3 linked regions of the Arabidopsis thaliana genome follow. The protein of the gene in region 2 interacts with the protein of the main gene of each other region in a pairwise test. Each region holds a gene or a part of one and is shown on either strand. Other genes may lie near its edges.

Region 1 (4,345 bases), on a different chromosome or scaffold from region 2:
CAGATGTGATTTGATCTAAAGGTGTTGGCCTTTTGTAGCAAAAACTTGCAAAAACAGAGGGTTCTCTCTGTTTCGATGCTTTTTCCTTCAAATGGAAAACAAACCATTAATAGTACTCTTCTTATTCAAAAATAATTCGTTAAGCGGACCAAGGTATCGCTAAGGCCCAAACAAAAAACAAGAAATGGGCCTTAAGTTTGGTTCAATCTATATCGTGTAAATGACATTATCGTCCTTAAACAAAAGAACCACAGTAAAGAGTCGAGAAGGGTATATTAGAGAAAGAAGGACTTGTGACATCTCAATTCTTGAACAAGAAACTTGAAACTTGAAAGAAGAATGAGATAGTGTTAAGTGGCAGAGTTCCAAGTATCTTAGTATTATTCTCCTCCTATGCCAATGCTTTTCTTATGATCACATAGAGAGTAATAACATTCTTTTTACATGAACTCGCAGGTTTTAAACAGCCCTGATGTGTGAACCATTCATAATGATTTCTCCCAAAATCTATAGCTCTAGTATACATTATTATTGTAAGACTGTGTTGATCGTCTTTTGCACTTCATGTTTCAGACAAACAAACAAAATCAAGAAGTGTATAGAAAGCATCAACATCGATTATGTTCCGAGAAAACCAATAAGATTCATAAAACCAAGTACTCTACTCATATAAAAACTCTCAAGTAAAAATAGATAATGTCTTGGAGTTAACGCATAAAGCCTTATCAAGAGATCATCCTCTTATAACATGGACCTTGATTTCTCGAACAAGACCATCCATCTCCTTTTCTAACTCACAAATCACCTTGTCATTCAACTTCACATTATTCCTTCTGATTATACTACGGAATCCCTTGATTGTTTGACCCTTAACTTTCCTCTTCAATTTACCAAAGTTTTTCTCGAGTGGATCAATCAAATTGATGAACTCAGGGAAGTGTAAGCCATACTTCGTTATGACCTTAGTTGGTATGCGCAGCTGCATTACAAAGATAACATCATAAAACAGAAGTGGTACATTATTTTAATGAAAATGCAAAAAGACATGAGACTTTCTTCACATTTCTTACCATATTATATTTTATTTGCCGATGCTGGTTCACTGTAAAGAAAGGGTTCATGTGATTATCCAGATATTGTCTGTCATGCTCTCCAGAAGAACCTATCAAAATTTATACGCAAGAAAATAAAAAGACAGTGATGCTCTCAGTCTCAGTTAACTTCACAAGACAAAAGTTTCTATTATACCTTTCTTTTTTTTCTCTGTTTTGACTCCTCTCCATCTTTCTTTCTCAACATCAGCATGATCATCGTCACCATAATCTTGATCATCATCATCATCATCATCATCAATAACTATGATATCTTCACTAGATGTATCTTCCTCAACATAATCTTGAACATCATTAATATCATCATTATCAGCATCATCAAGAGCTGTAATATCTTCACTAGATGTATCTTCCTCATTATAATCTTGAACATCACTAATATCATCATCATCAAGAACTATGAAATTTTCACTAGATTTAACTTCTTCCCCATAATCTTGATCATCATTAAAACCATCATCATTGTCATCAAGAACCGTGATTTGCACTGAACTTCTAAGCCTTTTACACGTTGCACGACCATAGATACAGAAATTGAAACACCAAGAGCCATCAAACTCAAATTCTAAGAACTCTCCACCTTTCAAATCTTCGTCCTTGACTATCTTCTTCCACCCATTAACCATAACAAATCTCTCACTATCACCACAAAACTTCCTAAACGCCACTTTCCAGATGTTTCCATAAATGCTTCTAACAATTACATTTTTAGGCAACGACTTTGGTAAAAAGCTGTTGAAAGAGATGGGTAATTCCTGAAGAGGAAGGATCTAAAAGTTTCAATAAACTAAAAATCTACATATAACCAAAAACAGAGAGAGAAGTGTATTTTTACCAAATCATCTCCGGAATCATCAGGTAAGTACACTTTGAAGAACTTTGGAAGACAATCATCCACAGAAATTCCTGTTCCAAAGCAAGAAAAAAATCAGAACATAGGATAGGTTATGTGATTGGAGAATCAAGAACAAACAATAGCATAAAGATCTTAACATAAAAACAAGAGTCTAAAGAAGAAACCTCTGTTCATCATCTTCACCTCTTTGAAACCCTAACTCTTTTAGTGAAAGTGAAGGTGAAAATGGTTCTTGAAAATAGAAAAGTAAAAGAGCTTTGTTAATAGATCTCCGATCTTTTGGTTTGCTTTAGAGATTTTGCCTTTTGTAGCATAACACAGAGACTGTATTGTCTTCTAGGCTTATTGCTACAAATGGAAAAATAAAACATGTGCTAACTACTTTTACTTCAATGCTCCATGAACCGAACCGATATGATTTTAATCAAACCGAAAAAATATTATCCTAACCAAACCAAACCAATAAAGGGTGAACGAGAATTTAAAATTCAAATAAATGGGCTTTAAAGTCCGGCCCAATCGATTTGCTTTAAATGACAATAATAACCTGAGATTATAGAGAACGTTGGTCCGATCTTCTTTCAATTTCAAGTTTTTCAACCTCTTCCCGCTTACGAGGCCGGGATATTCTATCAACAGTCGTCTCTTCCATCGGCCGAACAATTTCCGATTTACCGACTAGGATTTTCGCCTACAACTTCCGAAGAGATTTTCTCAGTGTAAGTTTGAAAAAACCTAGCTATAGGATTCCGGATTTCCTAATCGTCAGATCTTGGGCTCGAAAGAGAAGCTAGAAATGGATAAGGATCTCTTAGATATCTCTGGAGAAGACGACGAAGATAATTGGCTTCTGAAGAATACGCCGAAGAAAACTAATTCGAGCCGAGGAAAGAGTTATTTGAAATGCTCACCTCTCCAAATCCCTAGATCTAGTCGTATCGTTCCTACTCGGCCTCCTTTTTCCCCAATTGGTAAGCGCTTCAATTTCTCGTTCTCGATCCGAGCTTCGTTCTGATAATTTCTCTCTCCCTTTGTTAGAGTGTTTAAGCATCTGAATTAGCATTGTTTAAATCTTAATTTGATAAAATAGCAAATTAGTATAAATGTTGTGTATTCTGCGGATATATGAAGGTTAATACTTTTTGCAGGAAGAGTAACAGGCACCAGCAACAACAGGGAGCAGCCATGCGCTTCAGTTGATACAGATAGTGTAGGAAAGGAGAATGCTAAAGTTGAATTGCCCAAATTGAGTGTGGAGCGACAACAGATGAAGAAGAAGAAAAAGAATGCAGGGTTTAATTTGCGCAAGAGTTTAGCATGGGATAGAGCTTTTTCAACGGAAGAAGGTGACTTTTTTTTACCAATTTCCTGTTAGTAGTAAAGGTCAAAGATTTGGTCTATGTTACTAAGAATCTTAAGATGTGTGATATGGTCATGAACCAGGTGTTTTGGATTCATCTGAGTTATCTAAAATAACTGGAACTGCTTGCCATCTTGGTGGAGATCGGTTAGCTGCCATTCAGGAAGAGTACAGAGAGTCAATGTCAGCTTCCAAATGTAATGTTTCACCAGGACTACAAGCACTTGAAGAAAACTTATTTAACGACTTGCCTGTGAATAGTAAAAACAGAGAGAAGAAGCTTGTCAGTGGCATAATGCCCAAGTACGGATCACCATCTAAATCCCAATCTTCCTCGGTGAGTTTACTGGACCTAAATATTGTGGAGCTAATGAGGGTCATAAGTCGTTTCTTTCCTTGCGTAAATATATATATTTTGAGGCGCAGTCTATCTAAATGTCGAATATCTGCATTATAGGCCCAGAAAAAAGTTATCTCAGCTCAGGATTTAAGGAGTGGTTCCAAGCGCAGTGGCTGTCCCCGGCCTCCTCCTTCATCTTCATATCCTTTTCTTACTTTGAGTACTGAGTGTATAGGCAATCTTGATATCCTTTGCAGGTCTTGTTTGTGTTCTTTTTGCTTGTTTACCTTAACCATCTTGCACCCTGAAAAGACCTGCAAATGTGCATACAACAACATCACGTTGCAGGGAGCTGAGCATATCTAAAGTTCCTACTACCAAATCTGACCCAGTTACAGTTGGAAACAACATGAAAAGGACTACTCAAAGTCCAATCAAAGCGAAAAACAGTCAACCTACTCAATTAAGTATGTTCACTTCAGTTAGCAAATAAAAACTATTCATCTCATATCCTTTTTAGTTCTGTTACTTTTCATCCTGTTTATATATTGCTACATGGTTTTTTGTCTGATATGACAGAGAATTCTCAGAGGAGCTTAGGATCTGAAAGCTTCTCTAAAAACACTTCAAGCACCAAGAGTAAAACAAAATCCAGTCTGGCGAGTAAATCTTCAATT
Region 2 (3,674 bases):
CTACTTTGTTTTGGTCACTGGTCTTTTGCTGCTGTAGACATTGTTTTACAAAATGAAGGTACCATTTGACCGCAAGAATTAAGCGAGAAAAGTGATGTTTAGAGCTTCGGGGTTGTTCTTTTAGAGGTTGTCACAGGCCAACCGGTGATTGCACGTTCAAGAACAACAGCAGAGAACATACACATAACTGAGTCGACTTTAATGCTGTCGACAGGAGATATCAGAGGCATTGTGGATCCAAAGCTAGGGGAGAGGTTTGATGCTGGTTCGGCATGGAAGATCACTGAAGTAGCAATGGCTTGTGCATCTTCTAGTTCTAAGAATAGACCGAGGATGAGTCATGTAGTTGCTGAGCTAAAGGAGAGTGTAAGCAGAGCAAGAGCTCAACAAGTGATATGAAATTGGGACAGTAGTTAGTAGTAACCACAACATGTAAAAATTCAATTGGTATGATAGCTAACAATCTCCCACATTCTGTTGTGTGTTTCTTTGTTTTGTAATAACTCTGGTTACGAGTAGAGAGACATTCATATAAGAAGCACATTTACAAAGTCTTAAAAGTTCATTATAACCATAGACCAAAAGGCTAGTTAGACAACTTAGCTAATTCATTACAACCATCGACCAAAAGGCTTGTTAGACAAAGCTAATTCTCACACGAGAATCCAAAGTCCTAAAAGTTCATTAGAGTAGATAGAAAGATGAAGCCTAAGATAGATAACAAAATAAGGCATTACATCTTCATTAAACCCGAGATTAAACGGATAAACATATACAATCCAATAGCTTCCTCTTCTTCTTCTTAGTTGGTTTGAGTAAGCACTGAAGTCACCTCCTTCAAAACATCCATGTTCGCCAACAACAACTCACATTTCTTAGCATCCACAAGCTTCATCTTCTCTTGAATCCTCTTCTTAGTCTCCACGGACACCTTGCTCCACTTCTTCTTCACAGAATACTCATCCAAACCGAGACTAGCGATAACCGGAACAAGAAAAGACTCCTCAAACCACTCCGAATCTTCTCCAAGAATCACGACTTGCTCATCTTCTTTAACCAAAGGTTTCACGTTCTTCTCCTTGCTATTAGCCTTAACAAGAACAGATTCATCTTTCACTTTCTTCTTCACAGGAGTTTCAAGGCTCACACCATCAGATCCCCAAAAAGAAACAGCCAAACCCAAACACTTCTTATCATGATCCGATTCAACACTTCTCACCTTCCGGTCACCAAAATACTTTCTCTTAAAGCTTCTAATCTTGTCAAAGAACTGGACTTTACTAACATCAAAGCTTATAGATTTCTTGGCGATATCAAAAAACCTATCCTTATGATCCCAAGGACTTGTACCTGTCTCAGCTTTGAAATCGATCATTGCTTGCAGGAGAGAGATCTCGTCTTCTTCACTCCATACTCTCTGAGCATGCCCCTTTTTGTTATCGCCCTCTTTCTTAATTCTTTTGACATGCATGTCCCTTGACGTGGTTCCTTCGCTAGCTCGCTTCTTCCCTGACTTCACCGCCGGTGATTCAGTAGCACCTTCGTTATTCCCTGACTTCACTGCCGGTGATTCAGCAGCACCTTCTTTCTTCCCTGACTTCACTGCCGGTGATTCAGCAGCACCTTCTTTCTTCTTCCGCCTGGTTAAGACGAATGACTGCTTCTCTGACTCTGAGTCATCAGAAACTGCCACGGCGGCGGAAGGAGAGTTTAGGGTTTTTGTTGACGGAACAGTGACGGGAGCTTCTTTGGGTTTGCTTTCTTTAGAAGAAGAGATCTCTTCAGAAGAACTCTCAAATTCGCTTGAAGAATCGATTGCTGGATTTTCCAAAGAAGCCATTGGATTTTTTTCGGTATGATGAAGAAGAGTGAGTGAGAGAGTTACTTTTTTTAGGGTTAGTGAGCGGCGAGACTTTTTTTCCTTTAACGCTGAACATTCTTCACTCTCTTTTATATTTAACAAACAATCTAATTAAACAAAGCCCAACAACAAATTAAGGTTGTTCGAATGTTGTCTGCTAAGAGTTTTGGTGGGCTTGATAGGGACAAGGTATTGACTTTAGACTAAGTATCATCGGTTGGTCTTGTCTAGTGTTCTCCATTTCATATTAGTCGTTTTGCTCTGCCTATAATGTTCATTGCTAGGATTCAACAGAGAATAAAGGCTACAATAAGCATATAGTCTTATCTTCTTCAGGGGTTGCTAACATTATTAGTTTGAATCTGATACGCATGGTACACACTCTCTTTAGTCTCTGTAACAGTCTTCTCATTTTTTGAATGATACTACTACTGCTAGAGATCTTTGCCGTTAAATATAGACAAAGTTTAGTAGCCAGGCTAGGCTTGGACATTCGGATTTCGAATCGGATATATTCGGATTCGGATCATTAGGATAGGAGAACTTATTATCCGTACGGATTTTATGAATTTTCGGATCGAATTCGGATCGGATATTTTCGGATTCGGATAATTTGGATAGAAAATTTATTATCCGTTCGGATTTTACTAATCTTTGGTTTGGTTTTTGTTCGGATAAGTGTCGGATTCGGACCGGTTTTTAAAGAGCTAAAAATTGTTCAACTTAAATAAAAATTGGTTTAATCTTTACTAAAATTTGGTTAAATTTTGCAAAAGTATGTATACTATTAACAAATGTAACTAAAAGATTTCCAATTTCTTTATTATTTAGGATATTTTGTTATTTATTATAAAATTACAACTAAATATAAATAATATTTTTGGATATATATATTTTTCAGTTTTCGGATATCCTCTCGGATTTCGGTTCGGATCGGATTCGGTTCGAGTAATTCGGATAGGAGAATTCATTATCCATTCGGATTTTGTAACTATTCGGTTCAAGTTCGGTTCCGGATCGGTTTTCGGATTTCGGATTTTATAGCCAGGCCAAAGCTTTTTCATGTACATGATTTCTTATTCTAAATAGAATTAGGATTAAGTAGCTTCTTTTTACTTGTTATTCAAACTTGAGGAGAAACATCAAACTTTGTTTATTTACAAAGTCTGATCAATTGTTGTTTGTTTACACATATAAGGTCTTCTTAATAAATGCGACTCTGCTTATGATTAGATAGTGAGATTCTCCTGTATGGCTAGAAAGGATCCAACAACGTTTCCTCCGACATCAGGGAACTCCTCACTTCCTGGAAGTGGTCGGACTTTGCCTTTCCGATCAACTTCCACCGGATATTTCATCAGATGTCCTCTCATCTCCGACACTTCCTCACTCCTAAACTGTTCCCAGTTCTCCTCCGCCACTGTTCTCACTTTCCTTACACACCCTAGACTCTCTGGCTCCACAAAGCAATCATCTAGCAGTGCCATGTGTTCTGCCCAAAGCGACATTCTATATCCGTAGATCTGCAGATTATGTACCAAGTATTATTGATACGACTAGGACTATGAAACCATGTGTGTACTATCTTTGTGTGCTATTACCTGACCCCGAGGACCTGACTGTCGTCGTGCCCATGTATGTTGAGGCTGGTAAGCTCCCATTGCAATCTCTGTATCTCTTGTCCCCTCCATTGATCTTTGGTTTATGTTTGCAGATCCAATTACCACATACTCATCATCAACAACCATCCCTTTTGAATGAACATATATCATAAATCTTCTGCTCTTTCGACATAATCCCTATAATACAGTTT
Region 3 (6,015 bases), on a different chromosome or scaffold from region 2:
ACTTCCTTACCTTCAGCACATTGTGTCAGAGACTTTACGGCTTTATCCGGTGGCTCCAATGCTTTTACCCCACTTAGCATCAGAAGATTGTATAGTTGATGGCTATGACGTTCCACGCGGCACAATCATCTTGGTGAATGCATGGGCCATCCATAGAGATCCAAAGTTATGGGAAGAGCCAGAAAAATTTAAGCCGGAGAGGTTTGAGAAAAAAGGAGAGGATAAAAAGTTGATGCCATTTGGGATTGGACGACGATCTTGCCCTGGTTCAGGGCTAGCTCAACGGCTAGTGACTTTGGCTCTTGGATCATTGGTCCAATGTTTTGAGTGGGAGAGGGTTGAAGAAAAGTATCTAGACATGAGAGAAAGTGAAAAAGGAACCACAATGCGAAAAGCTACATCGTTGCAAGCTATGTGTAAAGCTCGTCCCATTGTCCATAAGGTTTTAGATGCTTCTTGTCCATAACTTTCATCATACAGAACCTCTTGTATAACAATTTCGATAGAAACACGATCTGTTTTGTTGCTTCTTAGCTATGGCCTTACCAGAGTACTCTATATTTTGAGGTAAAGACAGGCTCTTCTTTTCTAGGAAGTAACACAAGATCTTTAAGGTCAAAGAGAAAAATCTGGTTAACTCCAAACAACTAAAGGTCCAACGTTTACTACATGCCATAACTTAGTATTGTAGGTAAATGAGATACTAGTAGAGAATGTTGGAGAATCAAAGTTTAGTTACTATCGGAATCGTTTCCTGAGTCCACATTCATCGGCTGAGGGTTCTTGTAATCACTGATCTCATCCTTGTATCGCTGCTTGTCGACTTGAGCCTTGGCTTCATATGGCTCTTTATCATCAGCTATACATACACACGGTTGGGGAATTAAAACACATTCACATGATAAAGTAAAACCAAGTAATGTATTTACTTTTGAAAAGGATCTTCAAATTTTTTACCAGACATTTGACGCCACTTATCTCCAAGCACCTTTCCCACCTCTCCAAATGCTATTCCTGGGTGTTCCTTCTTTATGTTCTGTTCAGTTCACAAATGGAAAATGACATAATCAGGAATGTGCTAAGTTTGTCTGTTAATTGTTTGCTCTCATGTATGTAATAGACCGAGGATACTCCATTTCGCAACTTAGCCTACATCATAGAGGTAAAAGTAAAAGAAAGGAGAGAAGAACTCACATCTCTTTCCATTTGGGAAAAGAACATGAAACCAGACATTGCTCTTTTTGGTGCGTTGGGATCCTTCTTCTTCTTCGGCTTCTTCCTCTTACTACTGCCTTCGTCTGCGGCTACAGTTTTCCTCTTAGGAGGCAATCCTTTCGATGACGAAGCCTCTTTCTTAGGTTCCTTCTTGATAGATTTCTATAACAAGTCAATGACAGGAAGATATGAGAAACAAATACTGCTGCTGAAAGAGTTCGAATGAATGCGACAAAAGTTTACCTCTTTTATCTCTCCTACACCGCCTTCACTAGCATCAGAGTCGTCCCCGCCAGAATCATCAGTTGGTGAACCACCATCATCATCCTCACCCATAACAAAGTCTTCGTCCTTCATAAATTAAAAGTCTCGATTATCAAACACATGATCATTAGAATATGAAGTAATTCGGTCAGACATAAAGTACTTGCCTCCTCATCACTCTCATCAGCAGCTTGGTTTCTGATACGCGTAAGATGAGGGTCAACAGCATCATCATCATCATTATCCCCAAGAACAGCAGCAACACCGTCTGCGGTACCCGCACCTCCAAGGTTCATAATCTTCAAACCCTTAGAGCTGCAGCAAGAAAACATAAGGAATATTCACCACAAATCTTAAATGCACTCAGTAAATATAGACGGAGACAATGAAATAATCCGCGCTAACCTTATGAAGGTATAGAGATTGTGATACTCATTTCTTTGAATGTTACGGAACAGATGTTCATGGTCAGTTTTCAGTCTTATGAGAAGATCAAAGTAATGCATGTTAGCACCACCAGCAGCATGCCTTTCAAACTCGACATAGTCAATCTAAAAACGAAAAAAAAACAGGTTAGAAAACCCAACTCTATCTCAAAGCCTATAAAAAATCTCCAATCCTTAATAACCATAATTTACCTCATCGTGAAGTATAAGCGTTGGAGGTTTAGGTAAGAAGAAAAATCCCTTCTCGAGTGGATAAAGAACCCCATCTTCTGCCTTGAGAGACGATTTCACTGCAAACCCATCTTGGGAACTGCGGAACTTCCCAGGTTTAGTGATCTTTGCACCAGACAGCCAACGCAACACGGTGGTGAATACTTCATGAATGAGACCCTGAAAATTCATACAATTCAGCGTATGTATAAATTTTTTTATTCAGGAACAATAATGTAAGTGCAGACCAGACAGAAACCTTATATGATCGCTCCAGCTTGTCCTTGAACTTTGTATTCATAAGTTCATCACTAATTGACAGTTCACTTTCGACAACGGTGTCTGTTTCAAACTGGAGAAGATGCAAAAACAGTTATGTAAATCAGAGTAAAAAAACGAAAATTATACATAGAAAATTGAAATGGAAGGAAAAATGTAAGTAATGTTTACCTGCATAACAATGTGGGGGTACATTGTCTGACCTTTCCGGATTGGTGGGTCTAGAGAGATAACAACAAACGTGTGTGGTTGGTTTGACTGCTCAGGCATATAAAAAAAAATACGAACTCAATTAATGTGAACACGATTCAGTGATCATAATACGATAATCCCTTTAATCTGATGACTGCTAACATAGGTAACTGCCCTGAGATATGCTTAAAAAAGAATTACCTTTGGAAGCAAGAACAAACGGACAACGCTACTGTACTGGATTTTAAAGTCATTAGCTTGTCCTTGCAATCGTAAGAAAGAAAGGTGAAGTTCCACATTGTACCGACCCCTGTGATAGAAACAACCAAATCATTTAGTCATGACAAGATGAAGCCATACAATAGTGCAACAAATGTTTAAGTAATCAACTCTTTACCTGGGTGTGAGGATTGCAATACTCTCAAATGTGACGACCGCATCCTCAACTCCAGGACTAACATCAGCCATTGCAACGATTGTGTCATTGAAAACCTGAGACATTCTTTTAGCATCAACAGAAAAAAATATATACTTGAGGCACATACATATAATGAAAATAGTTTGGGAACTCACTTGAGAAGGTGGACGGTTTTCATCACCAACAAACTGAGTGTTGGAATTAGGAATATGAAAACTAATCTCCATCAGCGAGTCTTTCTGTAAACACGTAGAATATAAATCAGTAAATGTACATACATAACAGCCTAGAGATTACATATCAAAAGAAACCAGTACCTCATTAGCACCAGCAGTATCATCAACATGAAACTCCAAAGTAACATCATTTTTCCCTTGAAGCTGAGTCTGTGAAACATCAGCTAAAGATACTTCAAAAGCTTGTTTTGATCCAACCAAAAAGGTTAGTGTATTCCCTACACAAAGAAACAAAAAATTCTCCCTTTAGATCCACAAATGAAACTAGACAACCACAAGTAAAGCCTAAAAGCTATAAGAACTCTCACCGTGTAAATCCACCTCTCCCCAATTACGACCACTAACTGATAATTGCTTCTCATCCGGTGTTTTTCCATAAGAACTTTGGAAAAAGCTAGACAGACTTGGAACATCCTACAAAACAAAGGAATCAGAACAAGCACAAACATTACAATATCAAATCAAATAAAAAAGATATACACACACAAACCTGATCTCGAAATCCAACGAACTTGTAGTACAATCCATCTTTGGTTTTGACTCCCAATTGATTACTCTTTGTCACTTTCGTCCAACTAACACTTACAATATCAGATCTATCAACTTCCACAGCTTTTCCACCACCTTGTTTCTTCCATTGAATTCCTCCAGAATTGATTTTAAGTAAACCCGGGTTCTAAAAAACCAAAATTGAAACCCTAATTAGCCTTAAGAAAACCCTAAAAACTACCGCAGCTTTAACAATTGTAAACAAGAAAACAACACAACTGAAAAATGAAAGCGACAATCTTTTTTTTAACCCTAAATTTGACTCATTGAGTTCTTTAAGAATCGAGCGGCGGAAGCAAAAGGGGATACAGAGAAAGGAGATTAGGGTTTTCGAAGGAAGAGGAAAAGGTGAAAACTTTGAAGGAATTGAAAGATCTTGAGAGATAGAAGGAGACAGAGAGAGAAGATGGTACCTTTCCACCGCGACCGCTGAGAGAGATATTATTGAAGGAGTGGCCGTCCGCCATGGTTTTCTGTTGAGAGACACGAGAGAGACGAGAAAGCGAGAGCGAAAGAGAGAGAGTGATTTTTTTTTTTCCAAACTATGATATCAACTTTTATACATAGACACTCAGGCGGTTTAATTTTGGGAAGAAAACCAATTTTCGAAAATTAGATTTTCCGGTTTAATTGAATTTTTGAGTTTTTGGTTTTGCAGATTTGGGAAAAAGACCTTTATCAAAAAACGGTAAAAACAGAAGGTTGTTTTGAGTTTTGGATTTTTTCACATTTGGAAAAGAAACCTCTTATAAAACAGAATTTTATATCAATTATGTAGGCATGCGGGTTCGGTTTACCAAACCGGTTACTTCGGTTTTGTTTGGCTTTGGTTAGGAGGGGAAAACCGGTCTAAGGGTATGGAGAAGTGATTATTGAAGGAGACAATAGGAATGTGATGGAGCTATTCAAAATAAATAGACAACCAAACAGAGGATCCGAGCATTGTCTCTATTGTTCAACATTACCAAATGGAAACAAGCTCATAATAGTAGTACATGTTGTATTAACCTCAAAAACCAAACTATCAAAGTCTTTTTATCCAATGTAATGACTATAAATTACCCTGCATTGCTAGAATTCTTCAGAACTGTTTTCGTTTGTTCCTAAAGAGTCTATCTCTTTTCGAGAACACGTAACCAACAGCCATTAACCCGAATCCCGACACTGAAACAGTTCCCCATGGGAACGGTGGATCTTTGAAACAGTTGAGACTCGCTTCTACCCGTTGTGACGCGAGGTACACTACTGAATGCACTGAGTACAAGTCGTGTGAAGCTGATCTTAAGTAGAACAAAGCCATCTCGAACTCATTGTGTGATAGAGCAGAAACCGTTTTATCCAGCTTGTACTGCATAAGATTCCACCTTTGCATGAACTCAGAGTGGCGATTCTGTTTCCGTAGGATCACATCTCCTCCATATGCAACCGCGGAATCGATAACATCGATTGCACTTGTGATAGTTGTGTTCAAAGATGTCAAAATCACGTTTCTCTTAGCAGCATCTTTCTGAACAAACGATAGAGACGAGATATCAGAGAATGGTCCAAACGGTGTTTGCCCAATGCTCCATGTATAATCAACTAGAGTTGTGTTATGTCTCGGGCTCCATGTCAAATGAGTAGAAGATACACCCCACATACTCTGCAGAATGGAACCAACGAGAGGTCGTTCTAAGTCTCTCGTATGAACAAACACATGACGCCCGTTGCAAGTATAATCACTAACCGTTTGAGTTCCTCTAGTTCTAACAGCAATCACCATATCTCTAAAAGCAACAGACTGATGATACCGATCAAGCAACAAAGGCGTATTGATATCCAAATCAAACACATAAACAGGTAAAACCCTAGCAAACTCATTTCCTTCTTCTTCAACAATCCCCGCAACTCTCCTCAACTCCTCAGCCGAATCAGTCAACGCCCGATGCATATGCTTAGAATCCAAATACTCACTCACAATCAAAGTATAGTTATCAAACAAAAACCTAGAAGTATACGAATTCATCCCACGAGATACCGCAAACGAACAAATCGAACATTCTCTATAATTCACACTATAACTCTTAAAACTCAACTTCTGTTCACCTAACAACAACCCACCACTCTCAGCTTCATCCATAAACGTTCTCTTCACAAACTCCAAATCTAACCCACTCGAATCCTTAACCTCTGACCCATACACATGAATAAACTGAACCACCAACGT

What was found. Proteins that work in one complex are often made in the same cells at the same time.
Region 1: the proteins of AT4G00238 (region 2) and AT5G60142 interact in binary tests that used the Arabidopsis thaliana proteins (3 or more experiments, as listed by UniProt).
Region 3: the proteins of AT4G00238 (region 2) and HMG interact in binary tests that used the Arabidopsis thaliana proteins (3 or more experiments, as listed by UniProt).

What each region holds. Positions count from the first base shown.
Region 1 is NC_003076.8:24,215,447-24,219,791, forward strand, and holds AT5G60142 (AP2/B3-like transcriptional factor family protein), read right to left. Parts: upstream 2,304-4,345; 5' UTR 2,146-2,303; coding exon 2,133-2,145; intron 2,019-2,132; coding exon 1,948-2,018; intron 1,907-1,947; exon of another isoform or gene 1,868-1,906; coding exon 1,249-1,867; coding exon of another isoform or gene 1,223-1,248; exon of another isoform or gene 1,163-1,222; coding exon 1,071-1,162; intron 980-1,070; coding exon 734-979; 3' UTR 501-733; downstream 1-500. Other genes in the region: AT5G60150 (uncharacterized protein), read left to right, coding at 2,765-2,939, 3,117-3,314, 3,412-3,665, 3,786-3,868, 3,972-4,135, 4,248-4,345.
Region 2 is NC_003075.7:103,290-106,963, forward strand, and holds AT4G00238 (DNA-binding storekeeper protein-related transcriptional regulator), read right to left. Parts: upstream 1,933-3,674; 5' UTR 1,841-1,932; coding exon 803-1,840; 3' UTR 534-802; downstream 1-533. Other genes in the region: PLDBETA2 (phospholipase D beta 2), read right to left, coding at 3,091-3,384, 3,463-3,660. UniProt on the Arabidopsis thaliana protein: Transcription repressor that binds DNA in a sequence-specific manner, 5'-GCCT-3', to regulate the expression of PGR. Acts as a modulatory component for the glucose-triggered developmental leaf growth process.
Region 3 is NC_003074.8:10,783,215-10,789,229, reverse strand, and holds HMG (high mobility group), read right to left. Parts: upstream 4,343-6,015; 5' UTR 4,277-4,342; coding exon 4,223-4,276; intron 3,937-4,222; coding exon 3,751-3,936; intron 3,675-3,750; coding exon 3,569-3,674; intron 3,479-3,568; coding exon 3,342-3,478; intron 3,264-3,341; coding exon 3,180-3,263; intron 3,099-3,179; coding exon 3,004-3,098; intron 2,917-3,003; coding exon 2,808-2,916; intron 2,673-2,807; coding exon 2,586-2,672; intron 2,488-2,585; coding exon 2,395-2,487; intron 2,316-2,394; coding exon 2,118-2,315; intron 2,031-2,117; coding exon 1,885-2,030; intron 1,795-1,884; coding exon 1,647-1,794; intron 1,567-1,646; coding exon 1,459-1,566; intron 1,378-1,458; coding exon 1,195-1,377; intron 1,037-1,194; coding exon 958-1,036; intron 860-957; coding exon 732-859; 3' UTR 501-731; downstream 1-500. Other genes in the region: CYP81D11 (Cytochrome P450 superfamily protein), read left to right, coding at 1-466; AT3G28720 (uncharacterized protein), read right to left, coding at 4,891-6,015. UniProt on the Arabidopsis thaliana protein: Component of the FACT complex, a general chromatin factor that acts to reorganize nucleosomes. The FACT complex is involved in multiple processes that require DNA as a template such as mRNA elongation, DNA replication and DNA repair.